Linked DNA regions of Arabidopsis thaliana. The protein of the gene in region 1 interacts with the protein of each later gene in a pairwise test. Each region holds a gene or a part of one and is shown in the gene's direction. Other genes may lie near its edges.

Evidence for each region.
Region 2: the proteins of WOX4 (region 1) and FRS3 interact in binary tests that used the Arabidopsis thaliana proteins (3 or more experiments, as listed by UniProt).
Region 3: the proteins of WOX4 (region 1) and TCP14 interact in binary tests that used the Arabidopsis thaliana proteins (3 or more experiments, as listed by UniProt).

Annotation. Positions count from the first base shown.
Region 1 is NC_003070.9:17,236,017-17,240,046, reverse strand, and holds WOX4 (WUSCHEL related homeobox 4), read left to right. Parts: upstream 1-1,861; 5' UTR 1,862-2,093; coding exon 2,094-2,336; intron 2,337-2,555; coding exon 2,556-2,873; coding exon of another isoform or gene 2,874-2,885; exon of another isoform or gene 2,886-2,949; coding exon 2,950-3,144; 3' UTR 3,145-3,523; downstream 3,524-4,030. UniProt on the Arabidopsis thaliana protein: Promotes differentiation and/or maintenance of the vascular procambium, the initial cells of the developing vasculature.
Region 2 is NC_003071.7:11,576,135-11,582,814, reverse strand, and holds FRS3 (FAR1-related sequence 3), read left to right. Parts: upstream 1-1,997; 5' UTR 1,998-2,409; coding exon 2,410-4,563; intron 4,564-4,645; coding exon 4,646-4,735; intron 4,736-5,004; coding exon 5,005-5,154; intron 5,155-5,493; coding exon 5,494-5,610; intron 5,611-5,801; coding exon 5,802-5,846; 3' UTR 5,847-6,147; downstream 6,148-6,680. Other genes in the region: TIL2 (DNA polymerase epsilon catalytic subunit), read right to left, coding at 1-156, 235-323, 429-589, 991-1,086, 1,159-1,218, 1,293-1,358, 1,458-1,592; SE (C2H2 zinc-finger protein SERRATE (SE)), read right to left, coding at 6,458-6,518, 6,611-6,680.
Region 3 is NC_003074.8:17,556,971-17,561,792, forward strand, and holds TCP14 (TEOSINTE BRANCHED, cycloidea and PCF (TCP) 14), read left to right. Parts: upstream 1-1,822; 5' UTR 1,823-2,033; coding exon 2,034-3,503; 3' UTR 3,504-4,289; downstream 4,290-4,822. UniProt on the Arabidopsis thaliana protein: Transcription factor involved the regulation of plant development. Binds to the Up1 elements (5'-GGCCCAWW-3') in early light-induced proteins (ELIPs, e.g.

The DNA of each region.
Region 1 (4,030 bases):
GGTTATCCATCGTGTGATGACATTTTTCAAAAAATATGAATGGTATTACCAGTTTCTTGTTATGCTTTGGGTTCAGTAAAGTTCCACTCATTTTCCAGTATCTGATGAATGATAGAGCAGTCTTTTTAGAACTTTGAGCTTTCATATTCCTTCCGTCCAACAAAGATGAATTTTCTATGGAAAAAAATTGTCCCACAAAGATACAAATTTTGTATTTTTAATATAAATTTTAAAATTGTTTACCTGTTTTATCCTAAGTAAATAAGTAGATAAATATTTTTTATTATTTTTAAAATATATTAAAAGGTTAAAATTGTCAGTATACATTATTTTTTAAAAATGTGAAATTTCTATAAAAAAATCCATCTTCATAGGATAAAGATGTTATTAATTTTAGCTATTAGTCATGATCAACCTACACTGGTACTTCTATATTTCCTCCATGATATCAATTTTTATGTTTTAACCAGTGATATGAACTGTGACTTTCCACCTTCATAACTTTGATATCCATATATATTAGTGTAAGTTTCGTACTGTACATATACTTGCATCATAACTGGATTAGCCGAGACTAAATAATTTTGACTATTCTTCACAGTTCATACTCAAGGTCTCTGTTCTTTGTAATTCTAGACTACATATCAAATAAAAAGATGATGATATATTAGTCAAAACTCAAAAGTAATTAGAAGAAAAAACTTTGTAATTCCGGAATATCATACGTTACTACTTTTCATTAGTAAAATACCCAAATTACTTGGGAAATTGAGGTTCTGCAGTTCCCGATGTACAAGAGAATAACAATACAATACACTGATCTAAAGTGAATGGGACGCTTGACATTGCCAAACCAAACCATGCTTTTGTATCAATATCTAATAAACATATAAGCTTAAATTTATAATGATGTATTATTATCAAAATAAACAATGATAATATAACATTAAGATATTTCTAGCCTTTTCTTTTCCGCATAAAAGTCTGTCCTGGCTCATTATAAACTACCACTAATTTAGGCAAAATCCGTATCTTAACAAAAGTAATAAAAGCAATTTCGAGTATTGGGATTGGAAGATACCTTTTCCCCTTATTCATTCTTCTTCTCATTCTTCTTTTCTCTAAATAAAGTAGTTGAGACTTGAGAGCCACCGAAAAGCATTCGACATCCTATCATTAAAGCTAACTTTTTTCAGTGTTTTATTTCTAAAATAATTTCTTAAAATAAAGAAAGGTGAGAGAGAAATTATGTCCCTATACAACTAGTAGAATGAAAGATTGTCAAGCTTTGGTTTGGGATTTTTCTAATAAATCACATGCATTTGTTAGAATTTGATCCCAAAAAAAAAAAATTCAAACCTTTTTCCTGTAAAAGCAAACCTATTGGCTCGTAGGTCAATGTCAATCTCAATGAATAGTAAAGTCTTTTGATATCACGTATCTATAACATATTATTTTTAGCGTGGTTCATGTCCCTCAACATTCTGCCTAAATTATAGGATCTCAAGACATAGTACTATAGACTACAACTACAAGTAGAGGAAAATTTTATAAGAGAGATAAATTATGCGGTATTCACGCATGACATGCGTAAGCATGAAACTAAAATTTGGTTGATACATTACTATGCCGAATTTAAAGTAGTGCTCCATGCAGACATGAACATATCAGATATCACACGTACGCATGTATTACGTGTATGTAGAGACACACGTACGCATATCTATATTCACACAATGAGATTTCACTTTCTCAAACAAAGATCACTGTCTTCAATTAGTTTCAAATTTGTTCTTTACCTATTGCTTTTACATTTCTGAGTGTATATATTTACAATAAGGACAAGGAGATTTTAAATGATAAAAGTCAACCATATCCCATCATTTGGTCTTTGGTTTCCCGACGTCCCACTTTTGTAAAAATCATCTGTTCATTTTCCATTCTTTTTCTTTTTCCTACCCAACTGGATATCACCAATGATATCATTATACACTAACACTATCATTTCACACTTATCTTCCTCTATATATACATAGCTTAAGTCTTGTAACGAGAAAGGCATGCATAGCATTTGCTAGTTTTAACATATAGCAATGAAGGTTCATGAGTTTTCGAATGGGTTTTCTTCATCGTGGGATCAACATGACTCGACATCATCCCTTAGCCTAAGCTGCAAACGCCTCCGTCCTCTCGCCCCTAAGCTCTCCGGCAGCCCTCCCTCCCCTCCTTCTTCTTCCTCCGGCGTCACTTCAGCCACTTTTGACCTTAAAAACTTCATTAGACCCGATCAAACCGGTCCGACAAAATTTGAACACAAACGAGACCCTCCTCATCAAGTCAGTTCCATTATTGTACTTCGTACATTTTACATCGTTTCTTTCGTTTGAAAAAAGAAGAAGAATTCACTCTAGAAGAATTTTGATAATTGCGGCATACCTAATACTTTGACATTTATAAATTATAACGACTGGAGTGGTTCCTTTTATTATTAATTTTATTTATTTATTTTAATGTATGATTCCTAACAAATGTAATGAAATAATGTGTGGGTTCAGTTGGAGACGCACCCGGGAGGGACAAGGTGGAACCCGACTCAAGAACAGATAGGGATACTTGAGATGTTGTACAAAGGTGGAATGCGTACTCCTAATGCTCAACAGATTGAGCATATCACATTGCAACTCGGTAAGTACGGGAAAATCGAAGGGAAAAATGTGTTCTATTGGTTCCAGAACCACAAAGCCCGCGAGAGACAGAAGCAGAAGAGGAACAACCTCATCAGCCTAAGTTGCCAAAGCAGCTTCACGACCACTGGTGTCTTTAATCCGAGTGTAACTATGAAGACAAGAACATCATCGTCACTAGACATTATGGTAGGAATTTAAGGATTTTGTATAGTTTTGTGGTTTTGATCAACTATATTTAAGGATAATTTTTATGATTGTGTAGAGAGAACCAATGGTGGAGAAGGAGGAGTTAGTGGAAGAGAATGAGTACAAGAGGACATGTAGGAGCTGGGGATTTGAGAACTTGGAGATAGAGAACAGGAGAAACAAAAATAGTAGTACTATGGCAACTACTTTTAATAAAATCATTGACAATGTAACCCTCGAGCTTTTTCCTCTCCATCCTGAAGGGAGATGAAGTCATGAAGGTGAGGCAGAAAATTGTGGAATTCTTATGTAGATCTGGTTTAGGTTCAGAGGAATCAATTGGTATCTAGAAATTCAAAATAAAAATAAAAATAGGAATAAGTCTCTAAAACTACAAAATCTACTTAAGAATTCCCTTATTAATCTGCGAGTTTGATGTATCCTATGTAGATTATTTTTGCGATGTAATCTTAATTATGAATGCTCAGTTTAGCTCATCTTTTTTTCGCGTTTATTCTTGACAAATTCACTAGTGATCAGTTGTACTCTCTTCTGATTTGGCCATCTAAGTATTTCTCTAGATCGTTGGTATGTAGGAATGTTTCATTTAGAGAAATTTCTGAATAAAGACACATTTGATGTTGTTAAAATAATATCTCTGTCTTAATTCCTACGTACGTACAAGAGCAAGAAGTTAAAAGGAAATAATAATAGCATTTCCCGTTGAAAAGGGGGTAGACCTAGTATATTTCTATATAAACAAACATTGAAATCTAAAACTTTTTGTACTGTTATATACTTATATTAAAACTCTTAGTAAAACAGGTGACTCAATAATATTTATATTAATTTTTTATTTTTGATAAATATATACTAAATAAGTTTATGAGATGATAACAAGAAGAATCTTTTCAAGAATTTGATATTTCCAATGGAATGTGTACAAAGACATCAATATATGTAAGCTGTGGTGTGTATGTGGTTAGTTGTTTGTCTGATGCTTTATTGACTCTCGCAAGTGGTTGTTTTGTATTTTGGTTGAAACAAAGAGAGAGTTTTGCTTTTTAGGTTAAAAGTTGAAATGGCATTATATGAGACACACTCACTGAAGTCCATGCACTCGCTTTCCCGCTACATTGCATGCTAGCTAGCTGTTT
Region 2 (6,680 bases), on another chromosome or scaffold:
CATATTCAGCATCCGGGAACTTCAATGGAAGCTTTACTGTCTCTATATCGAATGCACAAACGCGAACTTCTGCGCGTTGGAGAAGATCCGTCCTCTTCTCTAGTATGACATCAGTGCTGGAAATACTGACATTGTACCATTGCCCACTACGCACATCTGGACAGCGAGAACACATCATGATTTTGACAACCTTGAGGGCTAAACTAGGATTAAAAGTTTGACTAAATAGGTTACCATTATCAATTGCAAATCGGACATGATAAGGAACATCGTACTCGCGGAGGTCCACCACAGAGTCTAAGCAGTCTTGAGGACGTTGTTCTCTACATTCCAAGACTTGGAAATTATAACTAAGGAACAACATAGTTTTAAGGGATAAATTTGTAAGAACTCTGGAAATTTATAAGAACAAAAATACATTGCCTTACCGTTTTCCAGACAAGATGGATTCGTAAGCTTCAAGTGCATTAAATTTTGCGAGGTTTCGTTCGACAATATGCAACAGATCCCTCTTTACTTCCACCAATTGTTGCACAGTGTCAAATGATACTTTGAGATATTTTTTTTGCAGGCCAGATAGATGATTTTTCTGCTCATGAACATAAGAAATCAAGAAACTCAAATTGGTATGGTAGGTCAAAGAAAAGGTCAGCAAAAGTGACAACCAAACAAGAGGTACTGAAAACGTTCATATCTTGCATAATGTTGCCACTAAAGAAGAAGCATTAAACACTTAAACATTTACTAGCAAACGTTTTTTGAGTTACAAGAACGTTTTTGGCAGGCTAGATAGATGATTTGAGCACATGGAAGCAAGATCAGTTTTGGACTTATTACTAGAGCTGCTCAATTTGAAGTTGCAAGAAGAGGAAAATAACTAAAAGTTGTAGCAAATGTAATTGACATGAGTCCTCTATATAGAGAGAAAGAAACGAGTAATCAACAGGTAGTTGCAAACTGCGTAAAAGGAGTTATGCTTTAGTGACTTACAAGATAAAGATCTTCTTTGTGAACAATCTGAATATCAGCAACTTGTCTTTCATATCGGCGTCTCAAGTAGGCTTCAACTTCCAGTTCCATATTGTCCTGTAAAAAGGGCATTGCAGTTTAGTTGACATATAGGAAGAAAACACTCGAGTACAGAGAGAACATATATACTTTGGTGGCGGCATACAAGTAAGGGCGGAACTTGTACTTAGTCTTAAAAGAAGAGCCGTCCTGAAAGAAACAAAAAGGGTTGAGCAACTGATACGAAGAAAGAAGCTAATATAGTAGCAATGACCACAGCTGACCTGAGTGACAAAGAAAAGGTCCACACAACTAAAGGTTTTCCCAGTATCGGCATCTTCCCAAGATGACTGCCAACAACGTAGTATAATAACCAATCAGTGAGTGTACTTAGAAGTTTTCAGTATTCAGAGAACTAACTACTAGGGAAGTCACAAAACGTGACTTACTGATGCAAACGTGAGTAGCCACCCGAGCCGCGTTTCCCCTTGGGAGAAAAGCCCAAATCCAAGTTTAGTTTCGAGTTCATCTGCCGCTGAAACTTTCTGCACATTCAACCTCCGATCACATCTCCTTCCGCTCATATTTGGCCCACGCCGATGATGCTAAGAGACTCTTGTATTGATTGCTTGTGTTGCGTATTAAATAAATTAGGGTTCAAAACAAAGGGATTCGTGATTGACACTGGTACGGTGAAGAGATGGAACCAGATCAAATAAGAGAAGAGAGAATCATCTAGAACCTGAGATTCTTATGACGACAATACAAGGAAATGAAGTTGTCATCCGAAAATGAATTAGGGCTCAACTAAAAAAGACAGATGAAGAAGATGAAATGCTTTCGCGCGCGTTGTCTCTTGTATCAAGGGCTTTCCTGGTTGTTGGGTTCGGTTCAAATGAGGCCTCACTTTTTATGAGGGCTTTCTGTTGTTGGGTTTAGATTAAAACGAGGTCTCGCTATTTAAATTGAAAAAAAAAAACCAACAAAAGCACGAAACGACGTCGGTTTCGTGCTTGAATCTCTTCTTCCTCGCGAACGACTGAGAAGAAGCAGGAGTTTAATTTCCTCCGGTCGAATCTGAAAACGAAATAGCTGCCATAGCTTCTTCTCAATTTTCCCCAATTGTTGTTGCCCTTCTCCCTAATTTCACGACTTTCGATTCTTCTGAGTTCTGAGTTCTTCGCATCACTGACTGACGTAAGCTCCTCTTTCTCTCTTTTGCTTTCTCCTCTTTCTGGGTTTCTCTCTCTCTCAACAAACAATCGGAGAGTGAGAGATGCAAAAAGTCCTCATATTTATATGTTCGGAAGAAGATCTCCAAACACTAATAGTACTTTTTTGTAGACTATGAAGATGAGAAACATTTGTGTGAAATTAGAACTTCTCTACTAAGTGAAGGTTATGGATGTTCATTTGGTGGAAGAGAATGTGTCAATGGGGAATCATGAGATAGGAGATGAAGGAGATGTTGAACCTAGTGATTGCAGTGGACAGAACAACATGGATAACTCGTTAGGGGTGCAAGATGAGATTGGAATTGCAGAGCCATGTGTTGGTATGGAGTTTAATTCAGAAAAAGAAGCTAAATCTTTCTATGATGAGTACTCGAGGCAGCTTGGTTTTACTTCTAAGCTTCTTCCTAGAACTGATGGGTCTGTTAGTGTTCGAGAATTTGTGTGTAGTAGTAGTAGTAAAAGGTCAAAGAGAAGGCTTTCTGAGAGTTGTGATGCAATGGTTAGGATAGAGTTGCAAGGTCATGAGAAATGGGTTGTTACAAAGTTTGTTAAAGAGCATACTCATGGATTAGCAAGTTCTAATATGCTTCATTGTCTTCGTCCTCGTAGGCATTTTGCTAACTCGGAGAAATCTAGTTATCAAGAAGGGGTTAATGTGCCTAGTGGTATGATGTATGTTTCTATGGATGCTAATAGCAGAGGAGCTAGAAATGCGTCTATGGCTACAAACACGAAGAGAACGATTGGACGGGATGCACATAATCTGTTGGAGTATTTTAAGAGGATGCAGGCAGAGAATCCTGGCTTTTTCTATGCGGTTCAGCTTGATGAAGATAATCAGATGTCAAATGTGTTTTGGGCTGATTCGAGATCTAGGGTTGCTTATACTCATTTTGGTGACACGGTTACCTTAGATACGAGGTACAGGTGCAATCAGTTTCGTGTTCCTTTTGCGCCATTTACTGGTGTGAATCATCATGGTCAGGCTATCTTATTTGGCTGTGCACTTATTTTGGACGAGTCAGACACTTCATTTATCTGGCTGTTCAAGACTTTTCTAACAGCAATGAGAGATCAACCGCCGGTTTCTTTGGTGACTGATCAAGATAGAGCCATACAGATTGCTGCTGGTCAGGTATTTCCAGGTGCTCGTCACTGTATTAATAAGTGGGATGTGCTAAGAGAAGGTCAGGAAAAGCTGGCTCATGTGTGTCTTGCGTATCCTAGTTTTCAGGTGGAGCTATATAATTGTATCAACTTTACTGAAACGATTGAGGAGTTTGAATCGTCCTGGAGTTCTGTCATTGACAAATATGACTTAGGAAGACATGAATGGCTTAATTCTTTATATAATGCTCGAGCTCAGTGGGTACCTGTTTATTTCCGGGATTCGTTTTTTGCTGCAGTGTTTCCTAGCCAAGGTTATTCGGGTTCCTTTTTCGATGGATATGTGAATCAGCAGACAACCCTTCCGATGTTCTTTAGGCTGTACGAAAGGGCTATGGAGAGCTGGTTCGAGATGGAGATTGAAGCAGATCTTGACACTGTCAACACACCTCCAGTCTTGAAGACGCCATCACCCATGGAGAATCAGGCTGCAAATCTCTTTACAAGGAAAATATTTGGAAAGTTCCAGGAAGAGTTGGTAGAGACATTCGCTCACACGGCAAACAGAATTGAAGATGATGGTACTACCAGCACATTTAGGGTTGCAAATTTTGAAAATGACAACAAAGCTTATATAGTAACGTTTTGCTACCCTGAAATGAGAGCAAACTGCAGCTGTCAAATGTTTGAGCACTCCGGCATACTCTGCCGACATGTTTTGACGGTGTTTACTGTCACTAATATACTCACTTTGCCACCACATTATATTTTGAGACGGTGGACAAGAAATGCCAAGAGCATGGTAGAGTTAGATGAGCATGTCAGTGAAAATGGGCATGATAGCTCGATACACCGCTATAATCATTTATGTCGCGAAGCCATCAAGTATGCTGAGGAAGGGGCAATTACAGCTGAAGCTTATAATATTGCTTTAGGGCAACTCAGAGAAGGTGGAAAGAAGGTTTCAGTTGTCAGGAAAAGGATAGGTAGAGCTGCGCCTCCTAGCTCACATGGTGGTGGAATTGGTAGTGGTGACAAGACCTCTCTATCAGCTGCTGACACAACCCCTTTGCTGTGGCCGCGCCAGGATGAAATGATACGCAGATTTAACCTTAACGATGGTGGGGCCAGAGCTCAATCTGTTTCTGATCTGAATCTGCCGCGTATGGCACCAGTGTCACTTCACCGAGATGATACTGCTCCTGAGAATATGGTACCCAGAGGAAACCTTTCACAGACTTATTTCTTTGATTCTATTGGTGTTGGTCAGTAACTTGATTTACTTTGTCTTACAGGTGGCTCTTCCTTGTCTTAAGTCATTGACTTGGGGGATGGAGAGTAAAAATACAATGCCGGGTGGTAGAGTTGCAGTTATCAATTTAAAGGTGTGCATTATATGAACCAGTAAATCTTTTCTGTAGGGTTTTGCAGTAACTTTTACTGAAAGTTGGTCTGATGGGATGCTTTATCTAAAAGAGATTAGATTTGTAAGAATAATGATCTTGAAGATTTGAACAATTGACATTCGCCTTTTCGGAAAAGTTACTGGCTATAGTGTAGGAAAATCAAAGTTGTTGCCATTAATAGTCTTGCTCGTTCCTGCAAAATAGTAGTTGACCGCTTTACTGAGGATTATTTTTCATGATGTTTTCAGTTGCACGATTACAGAAAGTTTCCCTCAGCAGACATGGATGTCAAATTTCAGCTGTCTAGCGTCACACTTGAACCCATGTTAAGGTCCATGGCTTACATTAGCGAGCAACTTTCATCTCCAGCCAATAGAGTAGCTGTCATCAATTTGAAGGTATGTCTTTTAGACTCTAGGCTCGTAGCTTCTCATGTAGTCTTCTTGACTTGACTAAACTCCTTTTAATTTATTGATTGTCTTTGGTTTGTTCTAACATAGATTCCATCTACCGTTAGTGTGTGAAACTTCTGTGTTGTTTGACTTGTTTAAGCTGATTCTCTCATTCATGTTAACTTGCCATACGTTTTGCAGTTATTTATACTAGCGTCACTACTTGAATATGAAATTTCATGTTTGATTACCAAAATCAATGTTTTACTCCATATTAGGGACTCTTAATTGAACTAGAAGGTTTCAACAGTGTGAAAAAATCTTCTTTTGTTTTCCTTACTCCAGCTTCAAGATACCGAGACAACAACAGGAGAATCAGAGGTCAAGTTTCAGGTGTCCCGAGATACACTAGGTGCCATGTTGAGATCAATGGCCTATATCCGTGAGCAGCTCTCAATCGTTGTAGGCACACTCCCTTTTTCTTTTTCTTTTTCCAAGTAGTAGTTATTAAATAATTACAAGGCCAATGATAGTTGAATTAGTAATAGTAACAGCAATCAATTAGGTTCATATCGACCTATAATTGTTCCTGAACTATTACTTGGTCTATGTATTGTCTTATAGAGTATCTAAACGGTATCTTGCATTTGCAGGGAGAGCTACAAACAGAATCTCAAGCAAAGAAGCAACGCAAATGATGTTGAGAGAGAGAAACAACCTCTGGAAAAGAAAACTTTGGAAAATGGTTGTTAACCTCATTAGAGCTCGTCTGTGATTAGTGTTGTTAGATTTACGATACAATGCCTTATGTGTAATTGTAACATGTGTAAGTGTCACGTCATCTACGCAAGTGTGTAGAATCTGGTAGGCATTGAGCCAGGCTTTGAAGTGTATATATCCTTCTTATTTACATTGAACCCTAAAAACCTGGATTCTTGTGGATAGTCATTCGTTTGACTGCAGATTATATTTAATGGCCATGGAGATTTAAGACTGCCATGGAGACTTAAGTATTGATAACAAACAATGTGGATAAAACGCATTATTCAATACAAGAAATTCTCATGCTATTTATGTAATCATCGTCGAACAGAATTAGTAAGAAAGCACATGAAAAATTTTGAAAAACAATAAGGAAATGTATGGAGTGCGTATTTTACGCTTTAGTGAGTGAAAATTGGGAGGAACAAGACATAATACATCAAAAGGGTAAGAAAATGCCACAATCTGCTAGCTTTGCCTTCTAATACTGATGCCCTTTAACCCAACCCGAACCAGTAAACTCGGGATCTCTCTAGCCCTGTCTTGTCTACAAGCTCCTGTAATCAATAACGGTCACTTCTTCCTCTGGAGCATCTAGGTCTTGGTAGCTGCACCAAATTTCTCATACATTAGTACCTTAGAGACACTGCACTCTTGATCATAGGGTAATGGACTCATAGCACAGAGTGAACTACGTTACCTGCGCAGCCGTCTAGGATCTTGTCTAAAGGCCGGAGACAACAGAAAAGGGGCAGGTCCACCTCTCCCGC
Region 3 (4,822 bases), on another chromosome or scaffold:
TTATGAATATGAACAATCCATTTGATTCCGTCCTAGGTGGGAGTAGACTGCAATCTACAATAATTAATTTATAGTACAAAACCAATTGATTAGTGAATTGGTTTAAGTTATTAAACTAAAAGAAGTAATTATTCAAGGTTGAGCCCTAGCTATAGTGCCAGATATTTTTAATTAAATCCTAATTAAGCATTTAATTAAGACCCCAATAGACGAAACGAAAGCAAGTACCATCATCATATATAATCATGCATATTTATCAAAGTTTTATATTTTATAACAAGAGAGGGAATCCCAAAGCTATCATCATCATCCACATTTACTCTACCATACTTTCGATTCTTTATGCTCTTTTTATAATCTTAATTGTTGTTGAAACTTTTGCTTCTTTATTTTAAATATACGTTTATGGTGCTTATTTAAACAACAAATATGTAATACGTCGAAACAGTTTGTAATATGTGTACGTAATATTAAACTATATCATTTCTTCGAATAATAACACATATCACATATCATATGTTATTTACAAAAATTCTTCATCAAATACATTCATTAACATATATATATATATTTATATATATGACATCTATGATCATATATTTTTATTTTTATCAAAATAGTCATAGTTTCCATATGTATTATTAATAGAGTTTAGTTTACAATATTTCAAAGCCTTAATAAGTAGTTCTTTTACTTTGAAAAAACAAAAATAGACATTTATAATAGAAAAACAGAGAGGTTGGTTAAAATGCTAAAAGTCTCATTTTATTCATACTTTTAGTTTTTTCTTTTTTTTTTGAAAAACCCTATTTATTTGATAACATACATAAATCAACTTTTGGGCAGTGGTGTTACATACCATAGTTCTTCACTTTTTTTGTATAGAGATTTGCTATCTGATTAAATAAAAACGAATAATGCTTGGGTTTAAAATTGTGAATAACAATGATAATGTTTCTAGTTTCCGGCAAAAGTAGCAGGGGAAGAATGATTACGTGAATGATGTAGGACCCAAAACGTTTTGAAATAAATTACTAAATTTTTGACCAAATTGAGTTGTTTAATTTGGAGAGGAGTGTTGGCCCCATCACTCTCTCGTCGACCTCTCCATTGTCTTTATGGAATGAATGATAAAAGAGGACACCTCACGTGGACTCTGCTGCCACAACGACTCTCTCCAACCATATCCCCTTCACATATATGACATATTTTTCTTACATTTACTATATATTAAAGACTCCACATTGTACATTTTTTCATCTCATTTATTAACGCAACGTTCAGATTTTTCCATTTTTAACTAGTCGTGAAAAGTATTTTCGTTGTACGGTGAATATTGTAGCCCTTTTTTACGGTGGGTGTTTTTTTTTTCATTTGATTGATGAGTAAATCTACATCGAGAAAAGAATATAATGAAAGATATACCGAAATCTTTTGATTATGGACAGATTTATTTTGTTTAAACCTTTTTTTTTTTTTACTGTTTTAAAAAGTTGACTAAATGCTTATCTGAGAAAATAATTAACGTGAAAAATAATTTGATATAATTCGGATTAAGTTAACTATAACAGACTGATTTTGATTGAGCAGAAATTAACGTTGAAATATTCACATTGGCTAATTACATCAATTCATTTTTGCGTTGATTAAATGACACTTTCTTTTCTTCAACTATTAAATGATATTCCCATTGTTGACATTTCTCTAAGTATATGATTTTAAGTAATTTTCATAAAGAAGCAATGAACAGTATTTTCATTTGAAAAAAAAAAGATATGTAATGAGATTTTTCTTTTAATTTTTTAATGTTATGTAAAGCTCACCCATATAATTCTCACTCATGATCTTTGTTTCTTTAAGCTTTTCTTCTCCATTGTCTCTCTCTTTCTTATCCTCTCTTTCTCAATCAATTCCTTCAGACTTATACACTTTATTTTTTTTCCCCTCTTGTCGAAAACATCACATATAAATAAAAAACCAAAAACCCTAATTTATAAAATATATATAAAATAGTTATAGCTCCCCACTTATATATGCAAAAGCCAACATCAAGTATCTTAAATGTCATAATGGACGGTGGAGACAGCGTCGGAGGAGGAGGAGGAGATGATCACCACCGTCACCTCCACCATCACCACCGCCCTACTTTCCCTTTTCAACTACTCGGAAAACACGACCCCGACGACAACCATCAACAACAACCTTCCCCTTCCTCCTCCTCCTCTCTATTTTCTCTCCATCAACACCAACAATTATCTCAATCGCAACCTCAATCGCAATCGCAAAAGTCACAACCGCAGACAACGCAAAAAGAGTTATTACAAACGCAAGAGGAATCTGCGGTGGTGGCAGCTAAAAAGCCACCGTTGAAACGAGCGTCGACGAAAGACCGACACACGAAAGTAGACGGAAGAGGGAGGAGAATAAGGATGCCGGCGTTATGTGCAGCTAGGGTTTTTCAGCTAACGCGAGAGCTAGGTCATAAATCCGACGGTGAGACAATAGAGTGGCTTCTTCAACAAGCTGAACCATCTGTAATCGCCGCCACCGGAACCGGAACAATCCCGGCGAATTTCACTTCTTTAAACATCTCTCTCCGTTCTTCAGGCTCTTCCATGTCTCTTCCTTCTCATTTCCGCTCCGCCGCTTCCACTTTTAGCCCTAATAACATATTTTCTCCGGCGATGCTTCAACAACAACAACAACAACAACGTGGTGGTGGTGTTGGGTTTCATCATCCCCATCTACAGGGACGTGCACCTACGTCGTCTTTGTTTCCTGGTATTGATAACTTCACACCAACGACGTCGTTTTTGAACTTTCATAATCCAACAAAGCAAGAAGGAGATCAAGATTCTGAAGAGTTAAACTCGGAGAAGAAAAGAAGAATCCAAACGACGTCGGATTTGCATCAACAACAACAACAACACCAACATGATCAAATCGGAGGATATACACTTCAATCTAGCAACAGTGGATCTACAGCCACCGCAGCCGCCGCGCAACAAATACCGGGAAATTTCTGGATGGTTGCGGCGGCTGCGGCTGCAGGTGGTGGTGGTGGTAATAACAACCAAACAGGTGGTCTTATGACAGCTTCTATTGGTACTGGTGGCGGCGGTGGAGAGCCTGTTTGGACGTTTCCTTCCATTAACACGGCAGCGGCAGCGTTATATAGAAGTGGCGTTTCGGGCGTTCCAAGCGGCGCGGTTTCTAGCGGTTTACATTTTATGAATTTCGCAGCGCCAATGGCATTTCTTACTGGACAACAACAGCTAGCAACAACTAGTAATCATGAGATTAATGAAGATAGTAATAATAATGAAGGAGGAAGAAGTGACGGTGGTGGTGATCATCATAATACACAGAGACATCATCATCATCAACAACAACATCATCATAATATTCTCTCCGGCTTGAACCAGTACGGACGGCAAGTTTCCGGCGACTCTCAAGCTAGTGGATCACTTGGAGGTGGTGATGAGGAGGATCAGCAAGATTAGACACACACAAAAACATTTTAACGGTGGGATTTTCTGCCGACGGCGGTAGCGGTGACGGCGTTCGGCGGCTGTGTAAAACTTTTGTTTTCACCGTTAATTTTTTTTATTTTCTGTAGTAATTTTTTTTGCTAAGTAAAAAAAAAAAAAAAAACACGTGAGATTTTCTTTTTAATTTTGATTTTTTTACTTGATTTTAAATTTGATTTTTCTTGTGAGTGAGTGATTAAATAGTACACGAGATTTTTTATGTCAGGTTTTTTGGATTTTGAGGAGAATATGACACTTTTTTTTATCATTATTGTTTTTAATTGTTTTTTTTCTTCTTCTGATAGTGTCACTGTCGTCTCGATTCTCAATCATCTTCGTTTTCTTTATCCATTAAGAAATTAATTATACATAAAGAAAAATTCTAAAAAGTATTCGTCAAACAATGTTGGTTCCTATAGTAATAATAGTAACATATACATCAAAGTATAATCTTACTGTTTTTTTAGTAACATTACGTTTTTTTAAGTGTTAATACAAAAAAAATTGAGAAACTATTTTATCAAGGAATGAGATGGGCCTCTCTCTATTGGCCCACCAATCTCTGTTATATTTGGCCCTTGAAGTAGTTGTTTCAAAGCTAATAGAAAACAGCAAAGTGTCTCGTTTGTTTTACATGGTCGAACGAAAACGATACAAAAAACATAAAAATATCTCGTTTGATCTTATATGCTATGAAATATATTAAATGCTTTTTTTAGTATATGATTCATTTTATCTCTGTTTCTTTGTCGTTTGTCCCCACTAAACAATCAATCTGATTTTGTATATGATGAGATATCTAATACTATTATATCATGATATTGTTAAAACTGGTTTTGTATATGATGATAATATTATATCAAGACTAGTTTAGACTATGAGAATTAATTAGAAAGTGATATAGTTTGAATGTCGCGTACAAAGTTATGGCTCAAAATTTTGTTTCTTTTTTTTTGACGAAGTACACCAAAAATATTTGATTGTTTCAGTATATTCTTTTTGTGTTTGTATGCCTTTAGAAAGTAATATTAACAATTTGTAAATTGATAGTGTTTAATTAGAACATAATTTACTTTATAAAATCTATTATTATGTTGTGAAAGAAAATATTCACTCAACATCGATCGGTCATATATTCAAGAATCAAGATAAATAATCTGAAGTTTTAAAAATCTGTTTTCGCATGGGTTAAATATAAGTTTTTACAAAAAGGATGAAGACAGAAAACAAATAAAAATAAATGTGAATGCAGACTATATAATATATCATTGAATGTATAAATTATACAAATT